Linked DNA regions of Saccharomyces cerevisiae S288C. The protein of the gene in region 2 binds, or shares a complex with, the protein of the main gene of each other region. Each region holds a gene or a part of one and is shown on either strand. Other genes may lie near its edges. The genes, in order: PET112 and GTF1. A codon is read from its position in the direction of its gene.

What was found.
Region 1: the proteins of GTF1 (region 2) and PET112 are in contact, whole or in part, in a crystal structure (PDB 4N0I), measured with the Saccharomyces cerevisiae proteins. Residues at the interface, in NP_011616.3 of Saccharomyces cerevisiae: Arg79 (codon at 14,748), Leu80 (codon at 14,745), Ser81 (codon at 14,742), Gly82 (codon at 14,739), Thr130 (codon at 14,595), Lys131 (codon at 14,592), Gln132 (codon at 14,589), Leu133 (codon at 14,586), Asn134 (codon at 14,583), Tyr135 (codon at 14,580), Leu138 (codon at 14,571), Gly141 (codon at 14,562), Ile142 (codon at 14,559), Gln145 (codon at 14,550), Lys146 (codon at 14,547), Gln147 (codon at 14,544), Ala149 (codon at 14,538), Glu150 (codon at 14,535), Leu151 (codon at 14,532), Gly152 (codon at 14,529), Glu153 (codon at 14,526), Ser155 (codon at 14,520), Gly156 (codon at 14,517), Trp158 (codon at 14,511), Ala160 (codon at 14,505), Thr161 (codon at 14,502), Leu163 (codon at 14,496), Lys168 (codon at 14,481), Ala170 (codon at 14,475), Tyr171 (codon at 14,472); in NP_009473.2 of Saccharomyces cerevisiae: Asn43 (codon at 6,986), Ser47 (codon at 6,974), Gln48 (codon at 6,971), Ser49 (codon at 6,968), Thr50 (codon at 6,965), Pro60 (codon at 6,935), Asn61 (codon at 6,932), His62 (codon at 6,929), His63 (codon at 6,926), Thr64 (codon at 6,923), Ser65 (codon at 6,920), Tyr66 (codon at 6,917), Ile69 (codon at 6,908), Leu71 (codon at 6,902), Leu78 (codon at 6,881), Asn79 (codon at 6,878), Leu80 (codon at 6,875), Glu81 (codon at 6,872), Ile83 (codon at 6,866), Leu84 (codon at 6,863), Phe109 (codon at 6,788), Gly111 (codon at 6,782), His163 (codon at 6,626), Val171 (codon at 6,602), Ile172 (codon at 6,599), Thr173 (codon at 6,596), Leu174 (codon at 6,593), Val175 (codon at 6,590), Asp176 (codon at 6,587), Leu177 (codon at 6,584).

The regions. Positions count from the first base shown.
Region 1 is NC_001134.8:67,584-84,343, forward strand, and holds PET112 (glutamyl-tRNA(Gln) amidotransferase subunit PET112), read right to left. Parts: upstream 7,113-16,760; coding exon 5,487-7,112; downstream 1-5,486. Other genes in the region: anaphase promoting complex subunit CDC27, read right to left, coding at 1-1,862; ALG3 (dolichyl-P-Man:Man(5)GlcNAc(2)-PP-dolichol alpha-1,3-mannosyltransferase), read right to left, coding at 2,168-3,544; YBL081W (uncharacterized protein), read left to right, coding at 4,283-5,389; NUP170 (Nup170p), read left to right, coding at 7,676-12,184; ubiquitin-like protein ATG8, read right to left, coding at 12,795-13,148; isoleucine--tRNA ligase ILS1, read right to left, coding at 13,460-16,678. UniProt on the Saccharomyces cerevisiae protein: Allows the formation of correctly charged Gln-tRNA(Gln) through the transamidation of misacylated Glu-tRNA(Gln) in the mitochondria. The reaction takes place in the presence of glutamine and ATP through an activated gamma-phospho-Glu-tRNA(Gln).
Region 2 is NC_001139.9:680,154-696,713, forward strand, and holds GTF1 (glutamyl-tRNA(Gln) amidotransferase subunit F), read right to left. Parts: upstream 14,983-16,560; coding exon 14,431-14,982; downstream 1-14,430. Other genes in the region: ASK10 (Ask10p), read left to right, coding at 1-1,982; ESP1 (separase), read right to left, coding at 2,413-7,305; TEL2 (Tel2p), read left to right, coding at 7,746-9,812; GTPase-activating protein MDR1, read left to right, coding at 10,092-12,944; rhomboid protease PCP1, read left to right, coding at 13,210-14,250; mRNA-binding ribosome synthesis protein NOP7, read left to right, coding at 15,264-16,560. UniProt on the Saccharomyces cerevisiae protein: Allows the formation of correctly charged Gln-tRNA(Gln) through the transamidation of misacylated Glu-tRNA(Gln) in the mitochondria. The reaction takes place in the presence of glutamine and ATP through an activated gamma-phospho-Glu-tRNA(Gln).

The DNA.
Region 1 (16,760 bases), on a different chromosome or scaffold from region 2:
AATTTCATAGCGCTCGTACCCAATCCGTAATATGCATTGTAATGCTGAGGATCACAAGCTAGCGCCTTTCTATAGCATGTCTTGGCAGAATCCGAAGAATCGTTGGAAGAATGTTCATGACCTTGCAAAGTATACGCGTATGCAAAATTTGGGTCTAACTGAGTAGCTTTTTCGAAGGCTTTTATTGCGGCATCATGATCCTTTTGCAATGATAGCAAATTACCTATACAACACCATGTTTCGGGCTTATTAGGCATTGTATCCATTAGCCCATTTGCCAAATTTGAAGATTTAACCTTGTCATGCAAATGCCACAGCAAAGTAGAAAAAATTTCCATATCTTTTACCCTTGCCGGTTGTAGGTCTTTCAATCTATTGAAATACTTTAAGGACATATCATAATTAATGATCTCAAAATGAAGTTTTCCTAATTGCACTAGACACCATGGCATTGTGTCTTTAATATGAGATGGGATTTGAGACTCGAACAGTCTTATTGCCTTGAACGAATTGTATTGTGATGACGACCTTAATATTAAAGCGAAATTATACATGATTTCAGGCAGCGTAATTGAATAATCACTCGTTAGTATTGAGTTACTGATTATTAAAGACCTTGGATTTTTCTTGGAAGTTGTTAACCTTCCTGTTGAGGAATATAGGTTTCTTGGAGTTTTGAAAGTTGTTTTATTTATAATGTTATTATTATTATTATTATTATTATTATTATTATTATTATTATTATTATTATTATTATTATTATTGTTATTTTGGTGGTTCCTATCGTTATTTAACAGTTTCGATGGAGGAGTCGTTAAAAGTTTGTTTCTGTTATAAACTTTGGCCAACGAGCTTATTGTAGGCTGTTTGGAGGATGGAGACACTAAGTTCATGGAAATGTTATTTGGTAGCGCAGAAGACGTCTTACTGTTGATTGCAGGGTTTTTAGGAGTTTGAGTATTTTTGTTCTGGCAGGTCCTTATTGATGTGTTCGCTTGTTGCTGCTGTGACCTTGAGAAATGCTGAATGGAAGAAAAAGAAGATGCCGATGTAGAAGGGGGAGAATTAGACGACTGAAACAGTGTATTAACATTATTATTGATATTATTATTGCCGTTTTTGTTTGTTTTTGAATATAAGCTAGGTTGTGAACGAGGTTCGAAATGCGATAGTGATGTAGACGGAAACGATGAAGCTGCATTATTATTATGACTATTACTTTTTTTCCCTGCAATGTCGAAAAAAACCCTCTTGAGATCCACGGTAGCTCTCATTTTACAAATCGCTTCGTAAGATTCCCAAAGGTAAGGATTAATGGCTAATGCTTCAGAATGATAAAATGCTCCCTCCTTAGAATGGTCCAGTTTCATATAAAGATTGCCTAACAGGCAATTCAAAGTGGCCAAATCGGGAATATGGACGAGATTAGAATTCAACACCATATTTATGCGCGTATTACTGCTGTTCGAAGAAAATACATTTATTATTGAGAGAAGAGTGAGGATAGCTTCGTTAACTCCCTGCGAAAGCTGTAAAGCACAACGCCCGAATATGTAAGCGATACCAAGATGATACTCCTTGAATTCTTTGGATATCTGGAACGCAGTGTGGTAGCTTTTATTCAGAAACAGCGAAAGTGCATATAAATATACCGCATCGGACCAGTAAACACTTGATTTATCGAGAATGGAGCATTCAGCATAGAGCAGTTCGGCCAAAAACTCTGCGGTACTGTAGTTCAACTGCTGAATAGCCTGCTGAATGCAGTCCTGAAGCTGTATGATGGTGCTCAAAGCTTGATCATCAAAGCTGGGGATTCCTCTCGAGAGGGTGAACGGTGCTAACTCAGGATTTACCGCCATGCTATTTTTATTATGTATCCTGCACGAAAAGTTCGTGTCGATTTATGAATAGATATGCAGTCACCAAAACAGAGTCTAAAACTCTCACAGCTAGGTATGGTTTTTTGATAAACTTTTCTGTGGCACCTTTGCTTGCACTTTGATCCTTTTGGTTTACTTTCAGCCTGTTCCATCCTTTTGATCAAAAAAAAAAAGGAAAATCAAGCGCGGGTAATAACGGCACCATTAAATACTAGTAGTACTATATAGATGGTATAAAGAAATGATTTAAAACAATACGATTATATGATATTTATACATCTGTTTCAGTTGAGCTTTTTTTCCATAGAGCTGGTGGTACGAAGATGGCTTTTGGCGAGGGCGACCGAACCAGATAGCTGCGTCAAGGCCAATAGAAGCAACAGAACAGTATTCAATGCCAACAATAGCGTGCTTGCTTGTGAGTTTGGTGGATAGGAATTCCAGCACCACTCGTGCAAGACGTACCAAATGGGACCAACGAAGAAGGGCATTCCCGACCAAAAGATCAGTATAGGCAAAGTCCAGTGATACCAGGATAGAAACTGGTAGTGGAGGGACCTTGAAAATAGGACGCCGATGAAGTTGGATGCGATTAGAACGAATGGAATAGTCTTGGCGGGATTGGCATTGAGCACTGCATTTTTCCTCAGCGGATGGCACAGGGAAGACCATAAATCGGGCAGGATGCGAGGGTATCTTGTGACGAACAGTGTGGTGAGCGCTATCAGGTGGCTGATTAAAAGGGCCAAGTGGAACCTCTTATCATTGAAAGCCTCTTCATCCATCATTTGCCAATTGATACTCCATTGGTACATAAACTTCCTGCCGAAATTAAAAGCGCAATGCAGGTACTGTTGCGGAAAGCTGCGCAGGAAGGGCACTGCAACTGCGACTTGCCATGCAATCATCGCAACGAGATCCAACAAAGTAAGGATTACGTTCGCGTCATTAAGGATGAATAGAGAAATCATCATTGCAGGGAAATACAACAGCGCATTCATCTTAATGCTCACAGCCATACTGTATGTTGCGGAGATCACCAGCGCAAGGGACTTCTTTAATTTGGGGCGCTGATGGCACCTGCTGGCCACGATAGCCCCCAAAACCGTGACGACCATAAACAAAGTAGTGAAGCAATCATTGAATAACCGTAGCACGTAAATAGAGTGCAATCTTTTAGAGAGGCACGCCAAGACCACACACCACGGTGGTAGATGTAAAAGGTAGTAACACGCCATTTGTAACGCCAGTGTAAGGAGATACAAGTATCTGAAAAACACTTGCCCGCGCTCAACGTGGTCCATTCCCTCTGTTAGCCAGTACATCATCTTGTAGATCAAGACGTGGCCTGCTGGATACACCAGCGGGCCCGTTCCACCACTCACCTGAGAGTAGTCCAGCATGCCATCGAGCTGAATCATCTCGATCTGCTCCATGTACGCCTTGTAATCGATCTCTGTGTAAGCTACCTTCTTAATGATAATCTTGCACAGCATGCTTTCGAACAAAATCAAAAGGGGCATAACGATAAGATTGGCCCTACAATCGAAGATCACGTAGCGCACACCGTCCTTGAGATCCTGCCACAGATCCAGCGGAGGTCTGACAAATTGCTTCCTTTGCAGAGACTTTTCACCTTGCGGAGACTGTTCACCTTCCATACTACTAGTATCTAACTCTTTCTCTCTCCCATACACACTCTATGATACTGTTTTCACTCCCAACTAGTGTACTGCGTTGTTCTTTAAGTTCGATAGCGAAATTTCTTTAGCTTGTTTACAGCACCCAGCAACCGCACACAGAATGTGACGGCAAATGCATTTTACATGGAAGGCTATCTACAAAACAGCAATAAAGAGTCATGTAAGATTGGGAAATCTCTAATGTGACATTCCATACTTGTTGCAACAATTTTGGGATGCTTCTGCGTCGTACGACCCTGTATTTACCTTCTCTAGCTCATCGCTTCCCAGGGTCCACGTTAATTTTTCAATTTTTTCTTGCGTGTCGAAGATTCAGGTCTCGAGAAATTTGTCAAAAATTTTTCACTAGATATTAAGAACTATATACATCGAATAAGATGCCAGCACAGAAGAGATAGGCAATCAGTTTAGATACTACAGACACTATCCAATAGTGCAAAGCAAAAGCAGCATAGAAAAAAGAGAATCCCGTTTCCAGCTTTTTCTCTTTTTCCCATTCGTTTTTCCTGATCTTTTTTTCTGCATCGTGGCACCTAGAACAAGAGGTACCTTCCATCCTTCGCTTAATATTTGATACGACTTTTTTGATTTCCATTATTATTATTTGTTACTATTATTATTTATCATTTGGGTTTCGGTTTTTTGTAATAATTTTCTTTTTTTTTTTTGGCTCTATTTCACTAAGACATCGTATATATGCCAGGCCAGATAATCAGCATTCCGTTTTTGTCGCAGAACGAGGACATGGATAAATACTTGTTGGAGTACCGCAGTTTGAAGCTCCTTCATCAGTCCAGTAATTCCTTCCAGTCTCACAATGCGCCCTCCCACCAGTCGAACTACCACCCCCATTACAATCACATGAAATACAACAACACTGGTAGCTATTACTATTACAACAACAACAATAACAGCAGTGTAAACCCACATAACCAAGCTGGTCTACAATCCATTAACAGATCTATTCCATCGGCCCCGTACGGGGCTTACAACCAGAACAGAGCTAATGACGTACCATATATGAATACCCAAAAGAAACACCACAGATTTAGCGCTAACAATAATTTGAACCAGCAAAAATACAAGCAATATCCCCAGTATACGTCCAATCCAATGGTTACTGCACATCTGAAGCAAACGTACCCTCAACTGTACTACAATAGCAACGTCAATGCTCACAACAACAACAACAACAGCAACAACAACAACAACAACAACAACAACAGCAACAACAACAACAATCTTTACAACCAGACGCAGTTCTCCACGAGGTACTTCAACTCGAACTCCTCTCCCTCGTTGACTTCTTCCACTTCTAACTCATCCTCTCCATACAACCAAAGCACCTTCGAATACATTTTGCCGTCAACTTCGGCAGCTTCCACAAATTTATCGTCGTCATCATCAAACAACTCTATGCACACCAACCCAACCACTGCAACATCGACATCCGCCGATTTAATCAATGATTTACCCGTGGGCCCCACGTCCAGTTCGCTTATCTCGGATCTACATTCTCCACCAACTGTATCTTTCCTACCAGCAAGCCAAACCCTGCTCATGTCCTCCACCACATCTAGCTCTATTGGCACCAACATAAACCCACCGCAACATTCACCATCCCCATCGCAAAGGGAGGATTTTTCGACGGCACCAGTGAACATGTCTTCGTCCGCATCACTCTTGATGAATGATTCTTCTTTAGGATGGGGGTCTAACCACATGAACGTATCTTCATCCTCTCAACCAGCATCATCAAGACCCTTTGGCATTTGGAATACTGACATGAGCGTTTGGAGTTGAGATGTTTACGTATATTTTTATGTATATTATTATCATTAGTATTACTATTATTGTTATTATTTATGCACGGTTCCTATTTACACGCGGCGTTTATATTTTACCATTGAATATTTAAGATCTCTTTGAATTTTTTCTCGAATTCGTTTGCCTTTATACGTCCCTGGCTTCGTCTCATTCCTTGTCCAATTAGGAATTTTAAAGAGGACTTCTTTTTACCAGTAACCAGGTTCCGTATAAAAGTGTCATCTGTGTGCTGTGCAATGACATCATTACAGAGATCCATCAATTCTTGAGGGTCGACCTGATTAATCGCATGCAATTCAAATTTCTCGATTAGTTTTGAAAAATCTGGAATAGACAAATCTTGGCAGTTACTCTGCTCGAAATTTTCCAATATGTGAAACAGTAACATTTTACCACTAGTTGCGGATATAACCTCTTCATGCAATAACTTCAAAAACTGGGCGAAAACCGGAGGAGGCAAAATTTCTTTTGCTTTGGCCAATGGAATTTGTAGCTTGTTCAAATCTCCCAAGAATTCATGGATTATCCAATTCGTAGGTAATTTCGCGTTACTACGTTCACCAGCAAGCTTGGAAAATTCACGGAAGGTGTCTAAGTAGTACGATCTCAACGCCTCATGATTGTACATATCGTTTTGGTTACTATTATAAGTCAGAATCTTGGCGTCCTTCAATGATAATTGATAGGGTTTCTTCATAAGAATTCTCATTATATCGTCCGGTAATTGGGGCATCAACCCTCTCACACCACTGATAACGTCTGGTGCGAGGTTGATATACGGCAATTCTGGATCAGGCATGTACCTGTAATCGATCGTGGTTTCTTTGCTTCTCAACTTCACCGTTGATGAGCCTGTCCAGCCCCTTGTTTCTGGCTCCATCAGTGAGCTAGTGTCACCCACAGAAATCAACTCAACTTGCCGCTGATATTCGTACTTGATTGCATTGATGATGGAACTAGTATTGGGTAAATTCTTCAACTCAACGCGTGCATATTCATTAATTGAGAGGTTAACGTCCACTCGCATGGCGCCCGTTTCCAGGTCCCCAGAGGAAATGTGCAAATGACGTACCAAATTCTGATATTTTTTAATAAACGCTCTAACCTGTTTAATATCACTGAAATCTGGTTTAGTTACCAATTCGATAAGCGGGACGTTCGACCTATTTAAATCAACCAAAGTAATAACGTCTTTATCTGTCTCTGTATAGTGTGACTTCCCCGTGTCCTGCTCTATCTGCAACTGTAAGATACCGATTTCCTTGGCTGATTCATCGATATCATCCAATTCCTTCGACAGATTGATCTTCCCACCCCGAGCAAACGGCCTGTAGTGCTGCGTCAGTTGATAGCCTTGAGGTTGATCTCCATAAAAATAATGCTTCCTATCAAACTGAGATATGCTATTCACTTGAGAACCCAGTGCCAAGGATAGTTTCATGGCAAACAAGATTGCTTCCAGATTCAAAACCGGCTGCGTTCCCGGTAGAGCTATGTCATAATAACTAGTATGATGGTTTGGTGCATCCACTAGAGATGTGGCGCTATTCGTTGATTGTGAAAAAAGCTTGTTTTTGGTGTTCAATTGCGTATGAATCTCCAATCCACACTTCAATGCATATTCCGGCCTGAAGGGTGCACCGTGACTATGTATGGCTTTGGTTCTGGCCAAAGAATAAAAACGTGCAAGCCGCAACATATCTAGTTCCTACTCTGGTCTTTTTGGACAGGAATGCTAACAATAACACTATTACTAGGTGGTACGACTAAGTACATCACGTCAAGCTTATTACTACTATAACTACTATTATCATAACAAAAGGGAAAACTAAACCCTATCTAAACAAGGGTTATTTAAATTTTTAACAAGGGCATACAACAAAAAAATAATAAACCTAAAATCAGAAAGTTAATCTTTCAGGGCTTTTGAAAGTGGAATTAACGTCTCTAGTAAACGAGGATTGTTTCCAATGAGATTCTAAGACCCAAATATCCTCTTCTTTACTTTGAAATGTTTGCAATGGACCATGATTATGGATGTGTTCTTTGTGACACGCTTTCAATGTACTCTATATCGTGTTGCACGAAGGATTGTTACTTTATTTGTAAAAAAAAAAACAATTTTTCGAGATGGGACATTAATATTGTAGAATTCTGAACATATTAGTGAACAGTTCTTTCGGAGAATTACTGGAACCTAGGATCTGACAAGCGGACAAAAAAGCAGAGTGCGTTTATTACTTCTCTTTCTAGCGGTTGTTCATGTTTCAAAGTTTTTTCCACAACAATGGGCCCGCTGCTGCCGGTGAAACGTTTTCAGATAGCAGATCGTACCCTTTAACGAATCATCAAGAAGTACCCAGGAATGGACTGAATGAGTTGGCCTCATCTGCAACCAAGGCGCAACAACAACCTACACACATATTAAACTCATATCCAATTACCGGGTCCAACCCACTCATGAGGGCAAGCGCAATGGGGGCGACCTCTGGCAGCATCAATCCTAATATGTCCAACATGAATGAGCACATTCGTGTTTCCGGGATGGGGACTTCTAAGCCCCTGGACTTAGCGGGAAAGTACATTGACCATCTACAACATAAAGATAGTAACACTCCCGTACTCGACGAACGATCTTATTATAACAGCGGGGTAGATTATAACTTCAGCAGAGAAAAAAACGGCTTAGGAGCGTTTACTCCATTTGAAAAGCAAGATGTGTTCAACATTCCGGACGAGATTTTGCATGAATTTTCCACTTCACAGACAAAAACTGATATGGGTATTTTCCCGGAGTTAAATCGATGTTGGATAACTATTGATAATAAACTGATACTCTGGAATATTAACAATGACAATGAGTATCAGGTGGTAGATGATATGAAGCATACCATTCAAAAAGTCGCCTTGGTAAGACCTAAGCCAAACACCTTTGTGCCTGCCGTGAAGCATCTACTTTTGATAAGCACGACAATGGAGCTTTTCATGTTTGCTATTTCCTTAGACAAAGCCACCAACGAACTCAGTGTATTCAATACACATCTATCAGTCCCTGTACAAGGCATTGATGTAATAGACATTGTGTCTCATGAAAGATCGGGTAGAATTTTCTTCGCAGGCCAAGCCAGTGGCCTGAATATCTGGGAGTTGCACTACTCAGGTTCCGATGACTGGTTCAATAGTAAATGTAGTAAGGTCTGTCTGACAAAGTCTGCCCTATTAAGTCTTCTACCTACTAACATGTTATCGCAGATTCCAGGTGTTGATTTTATTCAGGCTTTGTTCGAAGATAATTCTAACGGTAATGGCGGATTTTCTCAAGAGACCATCACGCAACTAACTATTGACCAACAAAGAGGAATCATCTATTCATTATCCTCCAAATCCACCATTAGAGCATACGTAATAACAGAAAAATCACTGGAAGGACCCATGTCAATTGAGCCTGCCTACATCAGTAGGATCATAGGTACCACGACGGCAAGGGCAGCACCGATTTTGGGCCCCAAATACCTAAAAATTGTCAAGATAAGCTCTGTTGCACCAGAAGAAAACAACAATTTGTTTTTAGTTGCTTTAACAGTAGGTGGTGTGCGTTTGTACTTTAATGGTTCCATGGGCAGATTTAACATCGAAGCTTTGAGGTTAGAATCGATCAAGTTCCCCCCTAGTTCTGTAACTCCTGAAGTCATCCAACAAGAATTACTACATCAACAACAGGAACAGGCGAAGAGAAGCTTTCCTTTCTTTTCAAATCTAATGTCTTCCGAACCAGTCCTCTTAAAATTCCAAAAGAAATCATCTGTATTACTAGAGACTACAAAAGCAAGTACAATTATTTCCCCAGGCATATTTTTTTCCGCTGTGATCAAGTCATCTCAGCAAACTCATCAACAAGAAAAAAAAGAGAACTCATCTGTTACTGGAACGACCGCTACCGCAGGGTCTAAAACTGTCAAACAACAGCCAGTTACTTTACAACATAAGCTTTTCGTTAGTGTTCCAGATTATGGTATCTTGAAAACACACGGTAAGTACGTTGAAAATGCCACGTTTTTGGAAACTGCGGGCCCAGTTCAACAAATTATTCCCTTATCGGGGTTGTTTAATGCAACGACAAAGCCACAAGGATTTGCTAACGAATTTGCGACACAGTACACATCAGAAACTTTAAGGGTAGCAGTTTTGACGAGCACTTCTATCGAAATTTATAAATATCGTACTCCTGATGAAATTTTTGAGGATCTAATCGATAATCCGCTGCCATTCGTCTTAAATTATGGTGCCGCGGAAGCTTGTTCCACTGCATTGTTTGTTACTTGCAAATCAAATAAATCTGAAAAATTAAGATCTAATGCCCTGACTTTTTTAACTATGGGTATTCCTGGCGTTGTTGACATCAAACCTGTCTACAACCGTTATTCTGTATCTACAGTATCCTCTTTATTGTCAAAGCCCACTTTATCAACCGCAACAACTAATCTCCAACAATCAATAACTGGCTTTAGTAAACCCTCCCCTGCAAACAAGGAAGATTTTGACTTAGATGACGTAATATTATCCCCCAGATTTTACGGTATTGCATTATTGATTACCAGACTACTTCGAGATATTTGGGGGAGACATGTCTTCATGACTTTTACAGATAATAGGGTGACATCCCATGCTTTCATTTCTTCTTCTGATCCAATCACTCCATCTATTAATAACCTAAAAAGTGATGAAATTTCACAAAATAGGAACATAATATCAAAGGTTTCTATTTCCAAGGATTGTATCGAGTACTATCTATCTTCAATTAACATTTTAAATGAATTTTTCATCACTTATGGTGATTCAATTTCCCAAATATCAGCTCCCTACGTATTAGCGAACAATTCTAACGGCAGGGTTATTGATAAAACAGAAGAAGTTGCAAACCAAGCGGAAAGTATAGCGATTAATGCGATGATCAAAATGGTACAGTCCATAAAGGAAGGTCTATCATTCTTGAACGTTTTATACGAGGAAAGCGAAGTCGAAGGATTCGACAACCAATACCTTGGTTTCAAGGATATAATCAGTTTTGTAAGCTTGGACGTCCAAAAAGATTTAGTCAAACTAGATTTTAAAGATTTATTTGCTCCAAATGACAAAACAAAATCATTAATTAGAGAAATTTTATTATCCATCATCAATAGGAATATCACCAAAGGTGCGTCGATAGAGTATACCGCAACAGCTTTACAAGAACGCTGTGGATCATTCTGCTCTGCAAGTGATATATTAGGATTTAGAGCCATTGAACATCTTAGAAGGGCTAAAGAAATTGGCTTGCGTAACTATGATTCTCTAAACTATCACCTGAAAAATGCTACTGCTTTACTTGAACAAATTGTGGATGATCTTTCTATCGAGAAATTGAAAGAAGCTGTATCAATGATGCTGAGTGTAAATTATTACCCAAAATCTATTGAATTCTTATTGAATATTGCCAACTCTATGGACAAAGGCAAACTAGCTTGTCAATATGTGGCAAATGGATTTTTAGAAAATGATGATAGGAAACAATATTACGACAAACGTATCTTAGTTTATGACCTAGTTTTTGATACTTTAATAAAAGTAGACGAACTTGCCGAAAAAAAACAGTCATCAAAAACTCAAAACCAAATTTCGATATCGAATGACGATGAAGTGAAACTGAGACAAAAAAGTTATGAAGCCGCCCTAAAATATAACGATAGATTATTCCACTATCATATGTATGATTGGCTTGTGTCTCAGAACAGAGAGGAAAAACTATTAGATATTGAAACTCCATTCATACTCCCTTATTTAATGGAAAAGGCAGGTAGTTCATTGAAGATATCTAATATACTCTGGGTCTATTATTCAAGAAGATCTAAATTTTTCGAATCTGCTGAAATTCTTTACCGTTTAGCTACATCGAATTTTGACATCACATTGTTTGAAAGAATTGAGTTTCTTTCACGCGCCAATGGTTTTTGCAACAGTGTGTCACCATTAAGCCAGAAACAAAGAATTGTACAATTAGCTAGTAGGATCCAAGATGCATGTGAAGTTGCTGGTATTCAAGGTGATATATTGTCGCTCGTGTATACAGACGCAAGAATAGATTCAGCCATTAAAGATGAGCTGATCAAAACTCTAGATGGTAAAATATTGAGCACAAGTGAGCTGTTTAATGATTTTGCTGTACCCTTAAGTTACCATGAAATTGCCCTATTCATTTTCAAGATAGCAGATTTTAGGGACCATGAAGTAATTATGGCCAAGTGGGATGAGCTATTCCAATCTTTGAGGATGGAATTTAATAATACCGGAAAGAAAGAAGATTCAATGAACTTCATCAACTTACTGTCTAATGTACTGATTAAAATTGGTAAAAATGTTCAGGATTCTGAATTCATTTTCCCCATTTTCGAACTCTTTCCCATTGTCTGTAATTTTTTCTACGAAACACTACCTAAGGAACATATTGTATCAGGGTCGATAGTTTCTATATTCATAACAGCGGGTGTTTCTTTCAACAAAATGTACTATATTTTAAAAGAACTAATCGAGACATCAGATTCCGATAATTCCGTATTTAATAAAGAAATGACCTGGTTAATTCACGAATGGTACAAATCGGACAGGAAATTTAGGGACATTATTTCCTACAACGATATCATTCACTTGAAGGAATACAAAATTGATAATGATCCAATTGAAAAGTACGTTAAGAACAGCGGCAATAATTTGGGGATTTGTTTCTACAAAGAATAAAAATTCATGTTCGACATATAGATAGCAGGGTAATGTACGTGTATATTTTAATGTAATAAAGAGGCCTTACTAGACGGTAAAGTTAAGAATATCGAGTGAACTTTTCCTTAAGATAAAGGTAAATATAGTCGAGTATTTATTTATTATTCTTTTCCACTATACAGTATTTAAAATTCTGTAAGAAATTGATTCTACATACATAAGACAAACGAACAGGTCAGAGAGAATCAGATTTTTGGTTAGCAAGAATACATTTTGGAGAAGAAAGACATTAACTCCACCTTACTGTATCATCTTATTTGCTTTTTCACTCCTTCCTAATATTTTTTTTATTTTATTTTGAATTTCTTCCTATTTCTGATGCATTGAACAGATCGTAATCTGTAAGTAAATACCATAACGTGCTCACATTTGTCTCCAAATACTGGTGAAATCTTGGCTCCGTTGTGTACAAAACTTCTTAATGAATATATATATATTTTTCCCTTATTTTATCTTTTTTTTTCGAATTTTTTATGTAAACATTCTTATACTGGAACAATAGATGGCTAATGAGTCCCTATAATTTCGATTTTAGATGTTAACGCTTCATTTCTTTTCATATAAAAGACTACCTGCCAAATGTATTTTCTCCTGAGTAAGTGACATACAAAAACCCGTCCTTATCCTTGTGTTCTTGATATATGGCAGACATCAACGCCGCAGTAGGTGGCAAAGTATCATTGACAAAAATGAAGATGGCCTTCTCAGGGGGTAGCATAATTCTCTTTCTTATAACATAAACAAATTGCCCTACGGTAAGGTCAGCAGGAACTAGATATTTACGCTTATCAATCTCTGGAATATCTGACTTTTCAGCTTTTTCGCAAATCACAGGTATCCTATTCTTGAACCTGTCAGCAATCCTCTCCGACTCCGCCTTCCTTTTTTCAAATGGATATTCAGACTTAAATGTAGACTTCATGTCTCTAGTAATTATTTTATTATGATTTTCTCAACTTTACAATTATTAGATTCTCTTATCAATCCCCTCCTCAACCTTTAATGGTTCCCCTTTTTGTATTTCCATAATTATACCAAATATTTTTGCCGCCGCCGAAAATAACCGGCCTCCGGGTGATGATATATCATGTGCTATGATTTCACGGGTATTATACAACATTATCGGTGGAGACAGTTAGCATTACATGACTCTAACTTAAACGTAAACTTACACATATACATCTATATCACTTCGAGTAGAGAAAAATTTGTACGTATTTATATGAGTTGTTTTCATAATTTGAACACTTTTAATTTGAAAATGGTGTCATTAATAGATTGTTCTTCATCACCAATTGGGTCTGTCTTTGAGCCGTCATATTTGGCAATGTCGGATCTACAGGTCTTGCTTAACATATCAAAATGTTCTTTGACAATGGCTTCAAAGTCGATAGTATCTTTAACTAATTCGTACTCCACTAAAACATCGTCGGTGGCTTCCAAACCACACTTCTTTCTCAATTTTTGGATTCTGTTGACCAGCTCTCTTGCGAGACCTTCACTCTTTAGTTCAGAGTAAATATTTGTATCCATGATGATTAACACGTCTTGGTCGGTTCTGGTTTCTTGTCCAGCTTGGACAGCAGATTCTGGCAAGCCTCTAATAGCATTCAAATCTCCTTTAACCAGTTCAATACCGGCAACCTCCAACTTTCCGCTTTCCAAATATTCCCGTACTTGCTCAGAAGTGACTGATGGTAGGGCATCTTTAACCTTCTTTGCGTCTTTTTTCAACTTCTTACCCAATACAGGCCAATCAGCAACTGCTTTATACTCAACACCATATTTTGCCTCATCGGAGGTGATAACAACATCACGAACATTTAATTCCTCGATAATGTAGTTTTTCAAGGCTTCTACATCCTTCAAGTATGATTCATCACTGTGAAGGATGACCAAAGTCTTCAATGGAGTTTTTAAGGAAATAGTTTTCTTTTCACGAATGTTTCTACCCAAATCGATAACGGATTGCATTCTAGAAACTGCAGTTTCGATGGCCTCGTCAAAGTATTCTTTCTTGACCACTGGGTAAGATAAGAAATGGACTGATCTTCCGTCCTTACCGTATTTTGCTAAGACAGCTTCTGGGATGTATTCCTTCAGTCTCAAATAAATGCTTTCTGACAAAAATGGGGTGAATGGAGCCATGGCACGGACAAATGTGAATAAGGCATCGAATAAAGAATTTAATGCTTTCAAACAGTCCTCAACACCGTTTTCACCCTTCAAACGACGACGATTAAATCTAATATACCAGTTTGTCAATTCATCAATGAAATTCAAAAGTTTTGGAACGACAGTGTATAATTTGTACTGACCCATTTCTTCGTGAATGAATTGTACTAGAGATTGCATAGAAGCTAAAATCCATCTGTCCATGACATTATCACTTTTCACAGAATCATCATATTGGAAGTCGATGTTAGACATCTTTTTCAACAAGGCAATTTGACCGTCCAAAAATTTAAAGGAGTTCCACCATGGTAGTAAGACCTTTGAAACAACCTCCTTAACACCCTCTTCTTTGAATTTCAAACTTTCAGCTTTTAAAACAGGTGAGTTTATCAAGTACAATCTTAATGCATCCGCACCATATTTGTTCAGAACAATGGATGGATCAGGGTAATTTTTCAAGGATTTAGACATCTTTCTACCATCGGCAGCTAAGACAATACCAGAGACGATGACGTTCTTGTATGGAACAGAGCCAAATAGATGGGTACCTAAGACAGCTAACGTGTAGAACCAACCTCTTGTTTGATCCAAACCTTCAGAGATGAAATTAGCTGGAACTCTTTCGTCAAATTTTTCTGTGTTTTCAAATGGATAATGTTGAGAAGCATAAGGCATAGAACCAGATTCAAACCAACAATCAAAAACTTCTTCAATTCTCTTTAAGTCACCCTTACCTTGCTTGGATGGAATTGTCAATTTGTCAATGACATCACGATGCAAGTCAGTGATGTTACGCACACCGGTCAATTCTTCCAATTCTTTGATAGAACCAACACAGACGACCTCCTCAAAATCGTCTGAAACCCATAAAGGAATTGGAGTACCCCAATATCTATTTCTGGAAACGTTCCAGTCACGGGCATTGGCGATCCAGTTGGCGAACCTCTTTTCCTTGATGGTGTTAGGAACCCAGTGAGATTTCATCACAGAATCCAACATTTGAGGGACAATGTTTTTAACACGAACGAACCAAGCTGGAACAGAACGGTATAACAATGGGGTATCGGATCTCCAACAGAATGGATAGGAATGGCGAATTTGGGATGCCAATAACAAATTTCCAGTATTAGTTAAGTACTTAATAATCAACTTATCAGCGTCCTTGACATAAACACCCTCAAAATCAGGAACGTCTTTCGTGAATCTACCAAGGTCATCAATGGCGTTAGGTAACACTGAATCTTCGGATATGACGCCGTTCTTCAAACAAGCAGCATTATCCTCTTCACCGAAAGCGGGAGCGTTATGAACAATACCAGTACCGGAATCACTAGTAACATAATCATCTGAAATAACTCTAAAAGCTGTTTCATGGAACTGTTCAGCGAAATATGGGAACAATGGTTCATACTTCAAACCAACCAAATCAGAACCTTTAATTTTTTCCACAATCTTATATTTTTCATTCTTAGGCTTCTTATACAAGGTTTTAATCAAAGATTCTAATAAGATGAAATAACGATCTCTGGTTTCGTCGTAAATCTTTACATATTCGAAATCAGCGTTAACACATAACGACAAATTGGAAGGTAAAGTCCATGGAGTCGTAGTCCATGCGACCAATTGAGTTTTTTCCTGGCCAATAACATTGAAACCAATGGTCACAGCTGGGTCGTTAACATCTTTATAGTTTTGCTGAGCTTCAAAGTTACTCAAGGGAGTGGTTAGGCCAGTAGAATAAGGCATAACTTTGAATCCACGGTAAACTTGACCTTTTTCATGAAGTTGCTTGAAAGCCCACCATGTGGACTCCATAAAGGATGGATACATAGTCTTGTAATCGTTGTCGAAATCAATCCAACGACCCAAACGACCAATAGTTTTTCTCCAATCACTGGCATAAGTCATAACAATGGATCTACACTCATTGTTGTAGTTTTCAAGACCATACTTGAAGACGTCATCTTTACCCGTGATACCTAATTTCTTGTCAATGATATGTTCAATTGGAACACCGTGTGTATCCCAACCGAATCTTCTTTCCACGTGGTGGCCTGTCATGGTAGCGTATCTTGGAACAATATCCTTAATAGTGGAAGCAAGAATATGACCGTAATGAGGAGTACCGGTGGCAAATGGAGGCCCATCGAAGAAGGAAAACTCCGGTTTGTCTTTTGTTAATTCTAATGAAGTATGAAAGGCATCTATTTCATCCCAAAGAGATAGAACTTTTTCTTCCTCCTTTGGAAATGAGAAGTGTGCGTTACTCTCGGACATATTTCCTTGGTTTTTTGAAGCTTTTGGCTAAAGGTTGTAGGAAGTCGAGTAACATCACTCTAGTTTAAAGCGCAAAATGATA
Region 2 (16,560 bases):
ATTTTTTGAAGAAATCGGAATTGTTGCCCACTTACCACCAAGGATATTTTGTTCTAACATCAAACTATATTCATGAATTCCAGAGTAGCGATTTTTATAACCTATCTTCTTCTACCCCTAACTCCACGAAGTCTTCAGCTTATTCTTCTTCCGTTTCCATTGCAGACACTTATGCCAATGCTAATAATGCCAAAGCTAACAATCATCATCGCCAGGCTAGTGATGTACATAACAGCAGTACGACAACTGGTGGTACAGCTGGTGCAAATGGTATTCGCGGTATTCGCAAAAAGAGCTATTTGGCACCGATTATGAGTATTCCGCTAAATGATTGTACCTTAAAGGATGCATCTTCCACCAAATTTGTTCTTGTAGGTAAACCCACTCTTAATGAAAACGCTGATGTTAGAAAATCTAGCTCTAGCACTTATTTATCTGGCTCTTCACAAGCGTCTTTACCAAAATATGGCCACGAGACTGCAAAAATATTTTCAAAAGCCCCATTCCACAAGTTTTTGAAGGGAAGTAAGCCCAAAAATAAGAATACGAAATCAAGTGAACTGGACCAATTTTACGCTGCAGCTCAAAAGGAATCGAACAATTATGTGACTTGGACCTTTAAAATAGTATCTCCAGAGCCTTCTGAAGAGGAATTGAAACATTTTAAACGTTGGGTCCAAGATTTGAAAAATTTAACGAGCTTCAATGACACTAAAGATAGAATTAAGTTTATCGAAGACCGTGTGATGAAATCACACCGATTCAAGGCGGGACATATGTCAAGAAACAGCGTGAACATAGGTTCCCATACACCTTGTTTAACAGATAGCACATTCACATTACAAGACGGTACTACGACGTCCGTCAACCTAAAGGGCAGGGCGGAGAAACCTCAGTATATTCATATTCAGAACAATTCACTAGCAGATTTTGATGGAAATGGTTTTAGATCCAAGGTTAATACACCTGCTATTGACGATTATGGCAATTTGATTACGGTGGAAAGAAGACCTGCACAATCTCCGCACCAATACTCTGACTACATGGCCACTTCAGGTAACACAACTCCTTCTTATTCATCGGGCTCAAGACCTCAAAGCATGTATAATGGGTATAACCCGGCTGTATCAATAACGAGTAATGGGATGATGCTCCAACAATCAACAGCAAATAATAATACTAATCCAACAACTAATTTGCGCCACCAAAGAAATATTTCACAAACAAGTTCCCTACCTGGATTTTCATACACATCCCTATCCCTACCAGTGAATTCTCCAGGTAGCTCTAATTCAGAATCCAGCTCAGGCGGTTATTTTGCCATTCCGCTTCATGGGAACAACAACAATAATAATTACACCCAGAGAAACTCTGAAGGCTCTAGCCCATGTTATAATGACGACCAAATACGACAACAACAGCAACCTTTACAAATGCAACCTTTATCAAGAACTTCAAGTTCAAGTGTTAATGTCACAGCGATGAGAAGTACATCTGCAGGTAATTCAATTACAGCGAACGCTCCCGTTGTACCTAAGGTGATGGTCAATAACCAAAATGTTAAAACTGTTGCTGCCGATCAGTCTGCTACAGCACCTTCTTCACCTACCATGAATTCGTCCGTCACAACGATCAACCGCGAATCACCATACCAAACCTTAAAGAAAACGAACAGCACAGGCAATGTTCCTTGTTTGACTGCTGAAAAGACTCATGCGCACCCTGCTTTCTATAAACGGGGCAATAATAGCGCCCAAAATTTGACTACCTCTAGTTCAACAGCTTCTAGGGTGCATCCTATCCGAAAGCACAAGAAAAACGTATCATTTAGTTCTTTGAATAGTTTAATGTTTTCAAAAAAGGGTGCAAATCACGGTGGTAATCTAATGACTAACCAATTTATGAGTGGTGGAATTCAAGAAGATGATGGTGATTCAACTAATAATGATACTATAAAGCTAAACCAGTCGATTTATTCTTAATTGTTACGCCTTAACTTTTGTTCTCTTTTGAGAAACAGCCTGTATGGTTCGCCGTTTATTTTCTAAGCACCGTTTTTTATTCATATTTTTATAATGCAACTCCTATAGAATATAGATGTTTCGTGTTTTTAATTCCTGCTATGACTTTGTGTCAATGGTATGTGAACTAACAACTGTGTGGTAGTTTGGGATGGTACGTAAAGGTGTTCGTGATTATATAAGCAATCTTAAAATATTTGTATCGCACCATGAGGTGCCCAATAATGAAATGAAAATTACTATTATGAACTATACTAAAAAGATGAAACTTTTTTATCAATCCCAGGTTCTTTTACTTATTATTTTTGGATATAAGAACAAAATCGGATTTCCCATGCTTTTTCTCAATGCCTATATGAAATCTTTTCGAAACAGCCAGTACATGTAACAATTATGATACGAACTTGATCGGTAACCCATAAATAACAGGAGCTGCGCCGTTCAAGTAACGTAGATGGCATACACCTCTAGATTTAGAGACGGCATATGAAACAGATAGGCTATTACCATTCAAATCGTCAGTATTACAGCGAAATCCCATCTTTTCAAAAAGTTCCTCGCTAAATTTATCAATATCTTTGTCAGTTACATCCCACAGATTACCTAGTACCATAGGGCATCCTCCCAGCAAATAAGTATAGATTGTTCCAGTAGGTTCTAACTTGCCGTAATATTTCATCGCTGCTGAAGAGCAGCCCAGTAAAAAGCTGGGGGCAATTTTGGTGCATTTCTTAATCTCCTTACTCCTTACATATTGTTCACCTCCGCCATGCCCTATATAAACGAATAAGTTAGAATTTTGCAGCATTTTCAAAAGTGTTTCCTCTTCCGGCTTCTCGTTCATCACTAATTGAGAGGAAGGTTTTGCATCGATTATTTTTTGGAACATACCCTTGAATTTAGATTCAGTCCTGGACAAATCTCCGTTCGGATTTAATATCATACTAATGTTGTCCTCAATAGTTACTTGAAGGGGTAGTTGGTAATGGAAACGCGATAAAAGTTTATTCAGACAAACATAGGACGGAACACGTGTGATAGACAAATCTTTCAAAAATGAAAGACACTCCCAAGGGAATAAATGGCATGAACTGCTAACGACTAAAAATGTATGAAATATACTATTAGTTGTCATAGTTGCCCTATATTTCTTTATTTGCTCTTCTAACTGCACGTGAAGCATGCTGAAATCAATTTCGTCGTAAGCATTTTCTTCACCATGGAAGAGAAGAATATCAAGAACAAAGTATATCAGGTCTTCCATCTTCGAAAGAAAATCGATTTCTTGCGGATTAAGTTTCAAGAACAATTCGATTACCCAATCTTCAACTTTTATAAACATTGCCGGATTGCCATAGAGTTTTCTGGAAGGAAGATTTTGATGCAGAATTTCGTAAAATTTATCTTTAAATTTTTCAAATAACGAGTTGTCGACTACTTCAGGGCTAAAAAACCCTTGAACGCCATTGAACCAACTATTTTCAATGTTATTCAACAATTGTTGCATTCTTTTATCCAAATCATATCTTGTGGTCCACCAAGATTTTCTTTCTTCTCTTGTTTTAATCTTGTTGGTAACTTCCACTGACGTCGTTTGGTTGCTTTCATTGATAATAGAAAGTAGTTTTTTTGTAGCCTCCGGAAATGAGAGATGAACTTCGTCGAGGTCTCTTGAATTAGATCGTATTAGCGGTAGCCTTAAATGCGTCCTTCTCTTACGTCGCGGTTCTAATTTGGATAGAAGTAAATTTCCAGTTATGGGACAGAAGTCAATAGTTATAACATTAATATTAAGGTTGCTCTCCATTAAGTCCTTCTGGGCGGCAGATACTCTAATACTCTCTGTAATTGTGGATATATTGTTCGGAGCTATTAGTGATGAAACGCGAAATTCTCGGTAATTTTTATTATCAATATTATTCAATACCTTATCGAATAACAAAGGCATATGCCTTGGCAAGTCAGTTAGCGAAAAATTAGTTATCAAACTACTCTCAGCATTATGGATACTAGTTATGTTTGAAAGGATAGTCAGAGTTAATGAAGAAAGGGAGGAAATTTTGGACAGTTCGTGATTATCTAATGTGTCTAGTTTCAAACTCTCCAAAAGTTCTTTCATCTGTTTTAATTTACTAATAGCAGCAATTCTATCAAATTTCTGTCTTATATTCTTACCTCTAGGCGTCATGCTCGACGATCTTGGTGAATCGCAAAGCTTCAATCCTGTACTATGCTTGGAAGGAGTTTTTAAAATGTTGTTGGGCATCGTGCTAGGAATAACAGGCAGAGAAGAGGGAATCCCAAGGGTAGATTCAAACATACCTTTGAAGAAAGGATCTTCCTCCAATTGGCTCATTACTTTTTGCCACATATTGTGTACTCTATTGATTACATTTTTGGGCATATATTCGGACAGACAAATGCTGTCGTCAATATCCTTACCCAAGTGAAGCTTCCACAAATTAGGTAGGAATGTTTTTTCTAGCTGGTCACCGAAATATAGGACCAACGACTGCTCTAACTTTACAAATTCCTTATTATCATACAGAAACATTGTCAAACTTGTAATGTCTGCCTCAGCATCAAGATAATCAAATGCCTTATTGGCTTTTCCCAAAGTTATATTTTGAAGACAGGTTTGCTCTGTAATCATATAGTATCTGTGAAGAAAATGCAGACATCTGTAGACGATAATAGGTTCCTCTAAGTCAGAAATAATTCTAGACAGTTCTTTACTGTAGAACTCACAGTCTCTGGCAGAACCAATGCGTATATGTATTTTAATGAGTTGGAAAAAACTAAACGATAGACTTTTTAGTAATGCTAGCCTGGATCCTTGTGACAATTTGTTCTTCTTTTTGAGCAACGATAATGCTAAATTTTGTGCTTTTCTACAATCAATTACTGCGGATATAACATTACCAGCTTTAATATTTAATTTCGCGCTTTCATTAAAAATTTTTATGTTCAAAAGTATGACTTTGATGTAAAGTGACATGGGTAGGTTGTGGTCGTTATTGATATCAAATAATTCAGGCTTCATAGCAGGCAGTGTTTTTCCAAAATATATTTGAAACGCTGTCAAGTCAGAGTCCCACAAGTGGACATTTATTAAAGAACTTGCATGTAATAACGCCTGCTCTATTTTCGCCGTTGATAAATTCATTGTTTTTTGTAGTTGATTCTTCATCATGAGGGCATCATCAATCATATATAAGCTCAGATAAGCCTCTAGCAAATAATTGTCGGCATAAGGCACAATACTGGAGTAATACTTTTCTTTTGATTTAATACAGAGTGAAAGTTCAATGGATAACTTATCAAAATTATTAAAGTTCAAGTAGCACAATAGCATTTTAACGAAGTCCATTTCAAATGACGATATTCTCTCGGCCTTTTCATCTGATTTTTGTAGCCATTTGTTTATGTACAGCTTAGTTATTTTCGATAGATTCGTTGTCAGGTGTTTACTCATGTCCAGGTTCAATAGGTACACTATTCGTATTAATAGCTCATATTTGTTGAGCAAGTGTAATTTATCAAACGTATTATTTAGCTCTAAAGGATCCAAATCAAAGATACCCCTCAGTGAGCAAAATATCATTCTGCTTAGTTGTGACCAATTTTCGGAAGGAATGTTTTCGATAGATGAATTTCCATACAGTACTGAAAGCATAATTTCTGAACTGTTTGAAAACTCGATGAATTTTGTGATTTTTAGGCGTGTAAAGCAATGAATGAATGCATTTTGGCAAAAGTCAAAAACAAATGATAGCGTATCATTTCGTAGCATGCAATATACATTGAACAAACAGGAAAAGATTTCAATTTTTTTCTGGGCACTCTGAGCACTAGATATAAATTTTTCAAATTTCAGTATAGTACGATGAGATGTTTTTGAATCATTACTGATTAAAACATTTGAGATTTCCAAATTAGCAGTCTTTAACAAAAACGAATGACTCTTAAATAAAACAGAAGCATTGAAAAGGACACTGATAATATTTGACAGTCGTTTAGGCTCTTTATAATCGATACAAATTTCTGATAAAACTCCCAGAAGTTCGGATAATAATGCCGCCGCAGATTCGTCATTAATGGATTTAATATTTGAGTTGATATAAATAACAGTACAATCAAACTGCCTCAATATATCCTTATTTTTAGGTAATCCCTCTAGGCGAATAGTAGACCAAAGACAGACTAAACATTTTAATGTTGCGGATATATGTTTCCCTTTATTTTGTAGAAAATTCGTTGCATTTTCGAGTATTACGTTCAAATCATCGACAGATATACAGGACCAGAGAAGACGGTTTTCACTCATGTTGCAGTATTCATTGAATTCTTTTTTACTTTTTATCGCTCTTTGTACCTCAGTAGTTTCTTCGTAACTTAAAATGTCTAGAAGCATTATTTTATCCAATCCATCGTACAGCATGGAATAGGATAAGTAAAATGAATTTAAATATATTTTATTAGGTCCCATCTCCAAATAATTTTTATGAAGAAGGTTTTTGCTAAAACACTCGACGGTAATGTTGCTAATGAACTTTTTAAAAGGTAATTTGAACTGTTTGATATATTGTAGAAATTTTAGCCCGAATAGAACTTTGCAACTCGTCGTGACAGAAAAAAAGCTCAGCACGATTTTTGTGAGAGCGTGAGCTTTGAGGTTAGGGTCTTTCAAAAGATATCTTTTATCATGGGAAAATAGTTCTAATATATGCGGTAAGTATTCGTCTACTAGCTTTCTTTTCAGTATAATCTGCAGCGCTAATATTTTCAGATTTGAAAGATAGTAGTCGTTCCACGTACTGAAGTCTGCTAGAAGAATGTTTTTCAGACTATGAGCTTGAAATAAATTCGTTTCATTGAAAAGAAAAATAATTTCAGAGGAGGCCAATCCTAATGCGTTATTATTTATTAGTTTAACAATTATCATCAAATGTTGTTTAACAGTGGAGTTTATATGGCCCCACATGTGATGGCTCTTCAATAGGCTATATATTGAATTTAATGAATGGTCAACAGTGGTAATATCCTCAATGGCTAAGTCTATGTTATTGCTTGCAATTTTTGTAAAGTCACGTATTATGTTATTATGCATTGCTAGTATGCCAATAGAATTGGATGAGGCGTCTCCAGACAACACCGAGGTCAGTGGTCTAGTTTGGCCACTATGATGTACTTTCGAAAGCGTGTCGTTTAAAAGGTAGGACTTGCTAGTCATCGGAGTATTCGGACTAATCTCATTCAGCGGTTCCTCCTGTTTTACCATCATTCCTTAATTTATAAGCACTTCGTGCCTAGGTTAAATTATTACTAGGTTAGCCTCAAAAATGTTGGGTTTAGGTCAACTTTTTACTATGCTCGCAGTTAGAAGGAAAAGAAAAATATGCTATAGCCAGATGCTCCTGTGAAACGTGTCCTAACTAAAATAATTCGGATGTTTCTGATGATAGAGTGTCTATATTCCTCCAAAAGGAATTTAACTAATTGTGGTAAGCTTCTCGCTTCAAATGCGCAATGTTACGTGGATGGGCTTTGTATCCATGTTCTTGTTTTTGTTTGTTTACCTCTTTTCTGTAAAGACCCGTGAAGTTTGAAAAGAAAGAAAATAAAAACAAACACCAAGAAATGCAGACAATAAGTACTTGTGGACAGGTTGCCGCTAATAGAACGTGAATCGAGCTACTTTATACGCATTTAATTCCTCATGAAATGGTTTTAGAAACGCTGAAACAAGGGCTTGACAGCAGTCAAATACATGAAGCTTTAATACAACTAGATTCCTATCCTCGCGAACCGGTGGATCTAGATGCCTCGATGGTTCTCATAAAATTCGTAATTCCAGTTTATCCATCACTACCAGAAAGATCGAAGGTGATATTGAGACGGCTAGCTTCTAAATCGTTTACATTTTTATGCCAAATTGTCACCTTCTCAAGGACAATAAGTGGCCGCGATGGACTGCAAGAGATACGCATATACCAAGAAATTTTAGAAGACATCATCAGTTTTGAACCGGGATGTTTGACTTTTTATTTAAAGGCAAGCACTACTAGCAAAGCAGACCGTGATAGCATTAAGGCCCTTTTCTTTGGGAGCAAGTTATTTAATGTGTTGGCCAACCGAATTGATATGGCGAAATATTTGGGATACCTTCGGCTTCAGTGGAAATTTCTACTTGAGAGTAATGAAACAGATCCACCTGGGTTTTTAGGGGAATGGTTAGTTTCATCATTTTTGCTTAACCCAGTGCTAGCGGCAGATATGTTATTAGGCGAATTATTTTTATTGAAAGAGTCGTATTTCTTTTCTTTTCAGAAAATCATATCTGCTAGTAGTCTGATAGATCAAAAGAGGCTGATTGCTAAGTTTTTATTACCATATATTCAAGTTATCGTGACTTTAGAAAATTTGAACGATGTTAGGAAAATTCTGCGGCGGTTTGATCTCGATAAAATCATAAGTCTGTCCGTATTATTTGAAATACAGTCGCTGCCATTGAAGGAAGTGATAGTACGTCTGATGAGCAACCACTCTTCCACGAAGTTTGTTAGCGCTTTGGTAAGTAAATTTGCTGATTTTACAGATGAGGAAGTAGACACAAAGACATGTGAATTGCTTGTACTCTTTGCAGTGCACAATCTCAATCATTCCCAGAGAGAGGAAATAGCACACGATGAGCGGTTTTTGAATGGCGTGACCAAACATTTAGGTAGCAATGAACGTGAGGCAAGGGAGCGTGCGATGTTTATTGCCAAGCTTTTATCAGGCGGTCATCTGAAGTACGAAAGTGATTTTAAAATCAATATACCGAATGTCAAATTCGAAAGCAATAGCGATGATAAAATCATTGATTTCCAATCTTTAAAAAATCCATCCATATGCAATACCCAAACTGATGTGGGTAAGGATAAGATTACTGAGGTCTCGGGTCATGTTCAAAGCCTTACATTGGACTGCAGTGATAGCGATGATGAAGATGAGAACGATGAGCGGGAGATTGTTAAACGAATTGTATTTTTAAAAGATTTAATGAAAGAATACGAAAAAACTGGGGAATCTCGAAAAGCTCCATTGATACCACTTCTGAAGCAAACAGTGAAATTGATACGGCAAAAGGCGGATTTTCAGTTAGAGGTTGGCTATTATGCACAAGGTATTCTGTCAAGCATTGTGTGCTTGAATAATGAATTTGATGAACCGCTTTTCGAGCAGTGGAGAATAAACGCTCTAACAAGCATACTGGTCGTCCTTCCAGAGAAGGTGAATGGCGCTATAAATATTCTATTCAATTCAGAACTGTCGTTACAGCAAAGGATGTCACTATTGTCGGCTCTGGGTCTTTCTGCAAGAGAGTTGAGAGGGCTTGATGATCCTACTATTGTCAAGCCCAAGTTTGATTTTCCAACAAATCGTTTACCGTGGGATGATCAAAGCCATCATAATAGTAGGCTTGTTGAAGTTCAAGAGTCAACAAGTATGATAAAGAAGACGAAAACAGTATGGAAATCTAGAAAACTAGGCAAGGATCGAGAAAAAGGAACGCAAAACCGCTTTAGAAAATATGCTGGTCTATTCTTCTATCCGCTAGCACACGGTTGGCTTAATGGAATTGACGTAGGCACATACAATCAGCTTTTTAAGTCGCATTATTTAACAACACTGCGTATCATATACTCTTGCGCTAACCCGGTCCACGATTTTGAATCCATGACGGAGTTGATGAATCATATAATTAGTTCAGCCATAGAGGAAGGAATTTCTCTCAATAAAGGTTAGTAGCATAGTTATTTGTACCAATCTTATGATACATATTTGAATAAATTTAGTGCGTTCTCTGTCAGCGTCGTTAGTATTTAATGCACAGCATATTATTTCAGAAGGTCGGCCGACTCCTGCAACTGGGAAAAAGAACTTCAATAAGAAAAGGCCTGAACAAATCTGCTTGGTAAGGGCCCAACAACATTTAAGAAATTGTACATTTTGAAAGCACTGATCCATCAATTAAAGCACCGAACAACCTCAGAGTTGATACAATTATTAGTTAAAGGATAGGATATGTCATTTTTTGATTCTTTACGTCAAAAGGCACCCTTTTTGGATAAACTGGCAGACAGTTTCACTCCAACATTAACCAGAGATGAGAAATTCAGATTAAAATATAAACTTCCAGCTAATGAAAACATTTTGGAAGATACGAATGCAGAAGTTTCATTTGCAACTTCCATTAAAGATGGAAAAGGGCATTCTGATAGAGTGAACAATAAAGGGAGAAAAACTGCTTATGTGTATTCCGGGAGATTGTTTTTAACACCTCATTTTCTGGTATTTCGAGATGCATTTGATCATTCATCGTGCGTACTAATACTGAATATTTCTACCATTAAACGTGTAGAGAGGTCGCCATCCGAATCATATGAATTTGCTCTTCTAGTAACTTTGTACACAGGAGCAAAGGTTCTGATTCAATTTATCGGTATACGTTATAGATCGGAGCAGTTTTGTGACAAATTGAAACTAAATTTGAAAGAAAATATTCCTAATGCCAAAACTTTACCTGCTTTTCTAGAAACCTCATATTCGGAGTTCTTAATTGCTAAAAATATTCTAGGTAAAAAGGACATAACTGTACCCAGGGCAGGTCTAGGACAACATTTCAAGTATCCCGGTAATCCTACTATGGTAAAAGAAAAGGCTAAATTGAGGCTATGGTTCGATTATTTCAGAGAGAATGGAAGGAATTTGGCAGTTGTGCAAACTCCTATGTTCCGAAAGTTAATCAGAATCGGTGTTCCAAATCGAATGAGAGGTGAAATTTGGGAACTATGTTCAGGTGCAATGTATATGCGTTATGCAAATTCTGGGGAGTACGAAAGGATATTAAACGAGAATGCTGGTAAAACATCGCAAGCTATCGACGAAATTGAGAAGGATTTGAAGAGATCGCTGCCCGAATACTCAGCATACCAGACTGAAGAAGGTATTCAAAGGTTGAGAAATGTTCTGACAGCTTATTCGTGGAAGAACCCTGATGTTGGATATTGCCAGGCCATGAATATAGTTGTTGCAGGATTTTTAATCTTTATGTCTGAAGAGCAGGCTTTTTGGTGCTTGTGTAATCTATGTGACATCTATGTTCCAGGTTATTACTCAAAGACGATGTACGGTACATTGTTAGACCAACGAGTGTTCGAGTCTTTTGTAGAGGACAGAATGCCGGTTCTTTGGGAATACATTTTACAGCATGATATTCAACTATCTGTGGTGTCTTTACCTTGGTTTTTGTCTTTGTTTTTCACTTCAATGCCTCTAGAATATGCTGTTAGAATAATGGATATTTTTTTTATGAACGGTTCTATTACTCTATTTCAGGTGGCATTAGCAGTTCTGAAGATAAATGCAGATGATATCTTACAAGCCGATGATGATGGAATGTTCATTGCCATAATTAAGCACTATTTCCAAACTCTGGGACAAAGTGCTCACCCAGATTCAAGCGATATAAAATATAGACAAATCACGAAATTTCAAGAGCTGTTAGTTACGGCTTTCAAAGAGTTTAGTGTCATCAGCGAGGAAATGGCAATGCATGCAAGACACAAATATGAGAAAGGTATTTTTCAAAACATTGAGACTTTCATGAAAAGAACGCAACTGCGCCATATGCCAAAAACTTTCAACCTGTCCAGTGATGACTTGTCCAATATCTATGACATGTTTTACCAAAGTATAGAAACCTACAAAATTAGTATGGGAACGGGATCATCTAATATGGGTTTCGAAGTATTCATTCAGTTCTTGAGTAAATTCTGTGACTCCTGTAGACCGTGTGAAAAGGACAAAGATCCAGCTTTCCGGAAACAAAAAAGGAATTTTCTGCAAAGGTTATTTGATAACTGGGATTCTGCTCATATCGGCGAGTTGACATTGAACGATGTGGTAACAGGCTTGGATAAACTGGTAACTGTTGATCTTTTACAAGCTATAAACTATTTTTTCTCTTTATATGATACAGATGGCGATGGTGAATTGCATAGAGAAGAAGTGCTACAGTTGTCGGAAGGGCTGCTACTGCTAACGGAACCTTGGAAGAGCGGTAGATATGTAGATCTGTTAACTAAAAAGCGCATTGAAGATGATATTGCTGAAAACATCATCAAGGAAAGCGGTGGAGAGATAGCCACTATGAACCAAATCGAGTTACCAACTGGGGTTACTATTGATGAGGAAAAATATAAAGTTGAACAAGCAGAAAGATACCTAAAAGCTGCAAGCAATTTCCTACAAAGATCTTTTGAATATGCTAAAGCAGTTGATCTCGCGGAGGAGGTAAACTTGATTGACTTGTCTGATGATGAAGGCGAAGAAAAGCGAACGGTAAAACAAAAACAACTGGAAAGCATAAAGGCAAATGCAGCCCTAGATCCCACCCATCCAAAAGTAATAGATTTGCCAACATTTAGAATGATCATCCTCGCAGATGAAACTTACGAGCTTTTCTTTTCTAATACTTTACGATCATCTGTTCACGTCGACGAACATGTCAACATTGATAACAAAAATAAAGTCCTCAGAAGTATGTTTGACGGTATATTGGCAGACGGCAAAAGAGTTGCTGAGCAAGTTCGTCGTCGTGTCGATTCGGTGGCAACTAGGAGCAGCATTGCTTCTGTAGAGAGTACGCCAACAGCCGCTGCAAGTTCAATAACTACCAAAGAAGAAAAGTACGATGATCTAGATGATTTCACGTCAGAGCATCAACCCGAGAATGAAGAGTTATTACAAAGTTCCTGGTTTGAGATCGACGATGCCAATGAAACTAGCACTAAAGCCATACAAGAAAGGTCTTTTGAGCCTTTGTCGGCAAATTCCTCGGAAGAGAAGTCCAACCTTATTGAATTTGAAGCATGAAATCGTGCTTATCAATTTTATGTCACCCTAAAACATCTGTACGTGTTTATATAGATATTTAAAGCAATATTTGCCAGGATTTGGTGAAGATCCCTCATATAACTCTCATAAATGCGGATTTTCGGAGCGAAAAAAGCCTAAATTCTTGTCTGGAAGTATAATTGGCGGTGAAATAGAAAAGGTGGCAATCACGACTGAAAAGGGTACAGCTTTCGCAACTGACATATACAGACAGTGAAAAGTAATAAATTGCCCAAGTGTGAACATGTCAGGTGTAAGCTCTGTTATGCTCGGTCTTCGACCTGCTACAAGAATTTTTTTCCGCAGTAATATTTCGGTTTCACCTTCGAGGACTTTTGTATCATATATTGGAAGATCCCAGAGCACGTCGATACTCAAAAATGCTCCCAACTTAGAGGACAATGTCACAAATCTTCAGAAAATTATACCGAAACGGTTCTTTTCTCAAACATCAATTTTGAAATCAAGGTGGAAGCCTATATTCAATGAAGAAACTACTAATCGATACGTACGTTTGAACAGGTTTCAGCAGTACCAGCAGCAGAGAAGCGGCGGCAATCCTCTGGGCTCTATGACTATTTTGGGGCTCTCTTTAATGGCAGGAATATATTTTGGCTCCCCTTATTTGTTCGAGCACGTTCCACCCTTTACGTATTTTAAGACGCATCCAAAGAATCTGGTATACGCGTTATTAGGCATCAATGTTGCCGTATTTGGACTATGGCAGCTACCCAAATGCTGGAGGTTTCTACAGAAGTACATGTTGCTGCAAAAGGATTACGTAACTAGCAAAATTTCGATAATCGGAAGTGCGTTTTCACATCAAGAATTCTGGCACTTAGGTATGAACATGCTAGCGTTGTGGTCCTTTGGTACTTCACTCGCAACAATGTTGGGAGCATCCAATTTTTTCTCCTTATATATGAATAGTGCCATTGCAGGTTCTTTGTTTTCGTTATGGTATCCAAAACTGGCACGCCTAGCCATTGTCGGACCTAGCTTGGGTGCCAGTGGAGCGCTATTTGGGGTTTTAGGATGTTTTTCATATCTATTCCCACACGCTAAAATTTTGCTGTTTGTTTTCCCAGTCCCAGGTGGGGCTTGGGTAGCATTCTTGGCTTCAGTGGCATGGAATGCAGCTGGTTGTGCTTTAAGATGGGGGTCATTTGATTACGCTGCGCATTTAGGTGGCTCTATGATGGGGGTCTTGTACGGATGGTATATAAGTAAAGCTGTAGAGAAACAAAGGCAGCGTCGCCTTCAGGCTGCTGGTAGGTGGTTTTAATCACTTAAAAAAAGACACATTCTCATTCGAAATATTGTAAATACTGCTATGTCTTCTATGTACTTAATCTTATTTATGCATTTGAAAAATATTTCAGCCTTATCGTGGTGGTACATGTACAAGAAAATTCATAGGCAAAAGAATATATAGAATAGAGCGTATGTGTTACTTTTCTAAGTCTTACTTCCTGTTTTTGAGTAGTCCCTCTTTGACAACAAAATATGCATTTTTGGATTCCGCGGCAAGTCCAGTTGCTTTCCAAGATCCGCTAACTTCTCCTAGCTCAGCATCCTGCTTTTGGTGGCTGATGCCTTCAAGTAGCTTTGTGTAGTTCAGCTGTTTCGTATTTCTTTGCACCAACCGAGCATCATATTCCTTGGTGTGCTTTTCACCTTCGACAGGTATGTTATGGAGTTTGTTGATGAATGATAATTGCTTGGCAAGTCGCATTTGAATTTCTTTAATATCTGCTCCTTCCAAGGGAAGACCTGATAACCGCAACAATTTTTTTACAGCTTCAGCAGACGGTGGCTCTAGTTTTTCCTCTTTAGTGTTTATGCCTAAATATTCGTGGACGGACCATACAGGTCTTGATAAATAATCCCTTATTTGATTCATATTTTCAAATTTTTTACCAATCTTTGCCCCTCCCGTAGATACGAACCGATGACTTCCATCATGGCATAACCCACCCACTGTATGTGTTCTGCATAGACGCCATGTTTTGTACATCGTTCTAGCACTATGGGTAAGTGCAAATAGTTCGATCTAAAAGCCTAAATGCTAGTCACTATTACCTCCTTGATGTTATATTTACAGAATAATGTCATGTCGTCTGTGGTGACTATTATTATTGCCTGAAAAAATTAAAGAAAATTTTTTGCGATGAGATGAGATGAGAAAAAATGAAAAATTTTGGAAGGTTAATTAGAGATGTGTAGTAAATCCTGCTGGTGGAATACATTTTATTCCTGTAGAAAATAGTATAGTAACAGCGGTATCCTACTTATACAATGAGAATCAAGAAGAAAAACACCAGAGGTAACGCAAGAAACTTTATTACCAGATCTCAAGCTGTGAGAAAATTACAGGTTTCTCTTGCTGATTTCAGAAGATTATGTATATTCAAAGGTATCTATCCTAGAGAGCCAAGAAATAAAAAGAAGGCAAACAAGGGCTCTACTGCACCAACTACTTTTTACTATGCTAAGGATATTCAATATCTAATGCATGAGCCCGTTTTGGCTAAATTTAGAGAACACAAGACTTTTGCTAGGAAACTAACAAGGGCTTTGGGTAGGGGAGAAGTCTCTTCTGCTAAAAGGTTAGAGGAAAACAGAGATAGTTATACTTTAGACCATATTATCAAGGAGCGTTATCCAAGTTTCCCAGATGCTATAAGGGATATTGATGATGCTTTGAATATGTTATTTCTTTTCTCTAATTTGCCCTCTACCAACCAGGTTTCCTCGAAAATTATCAATGATGCTCAGAAAATCTGTAATCAATGGTTAGCCTATGTTGCCAAGGAACGCTTGGTTCGTAAAGTGTTTGTATCCATTAAAGGTGTTTATTATCAAGCCAATATTAAGGGTGAAGAAGTTAGATGGTTAGTTCCATTCAAGTTTCCAGAAAACATCCCCAGTGACGTTGATTTCAGAATTATGTTGACCTTCTTAGAATTCTACTCGACTCTATTGCATTTCGTCCTATATAAGTTATACACCGATAGTGGGTTGATTTATCCGCCAAAATTGGATCTTAAAAAGGATAAAATCATAAGTGGTTTGTCATCATATATTCTAGAATCCAGACAAGAAGACAGCCTACTAAAACTTGACCCAACTGAGATTGAGGAAGACGTAAAAGTTGAAAGTTTGGACGCATCGACATTAAAGTCTGCCTTGAATGCCGATGAGGCAAATACTGATGAAACAGAAAAGGAGGAAGAACAAGAAAAGAAACAAGAAAAGGAACAAGAAAAGGAACAAAATGAGGAAACGGAACTAGATACTTTCGAGGATAACAATAAGAACAAGGGTGACATCTTAATACAGCCAAGTAAGTACGATTCTCCTGTTGCTTCTTTGTTTTCTGCATTTGTTTTTTACGTTAGCAGAGAAGTTCCGATCGATATTCTTGAGTTCTTGATCTTATCTTGTGGTGGTAATGTCATCAGTGAAGCTGCTATGGACCAAATTGAAAATAAGAAGGATATTGACATGTCCAAGGTCACTCATCAAATTGTTGACAGGCCAGTTTTGAAAAACAAGGTAGCTGGCAGAACGTATATTCAGCCACAGTGGATAT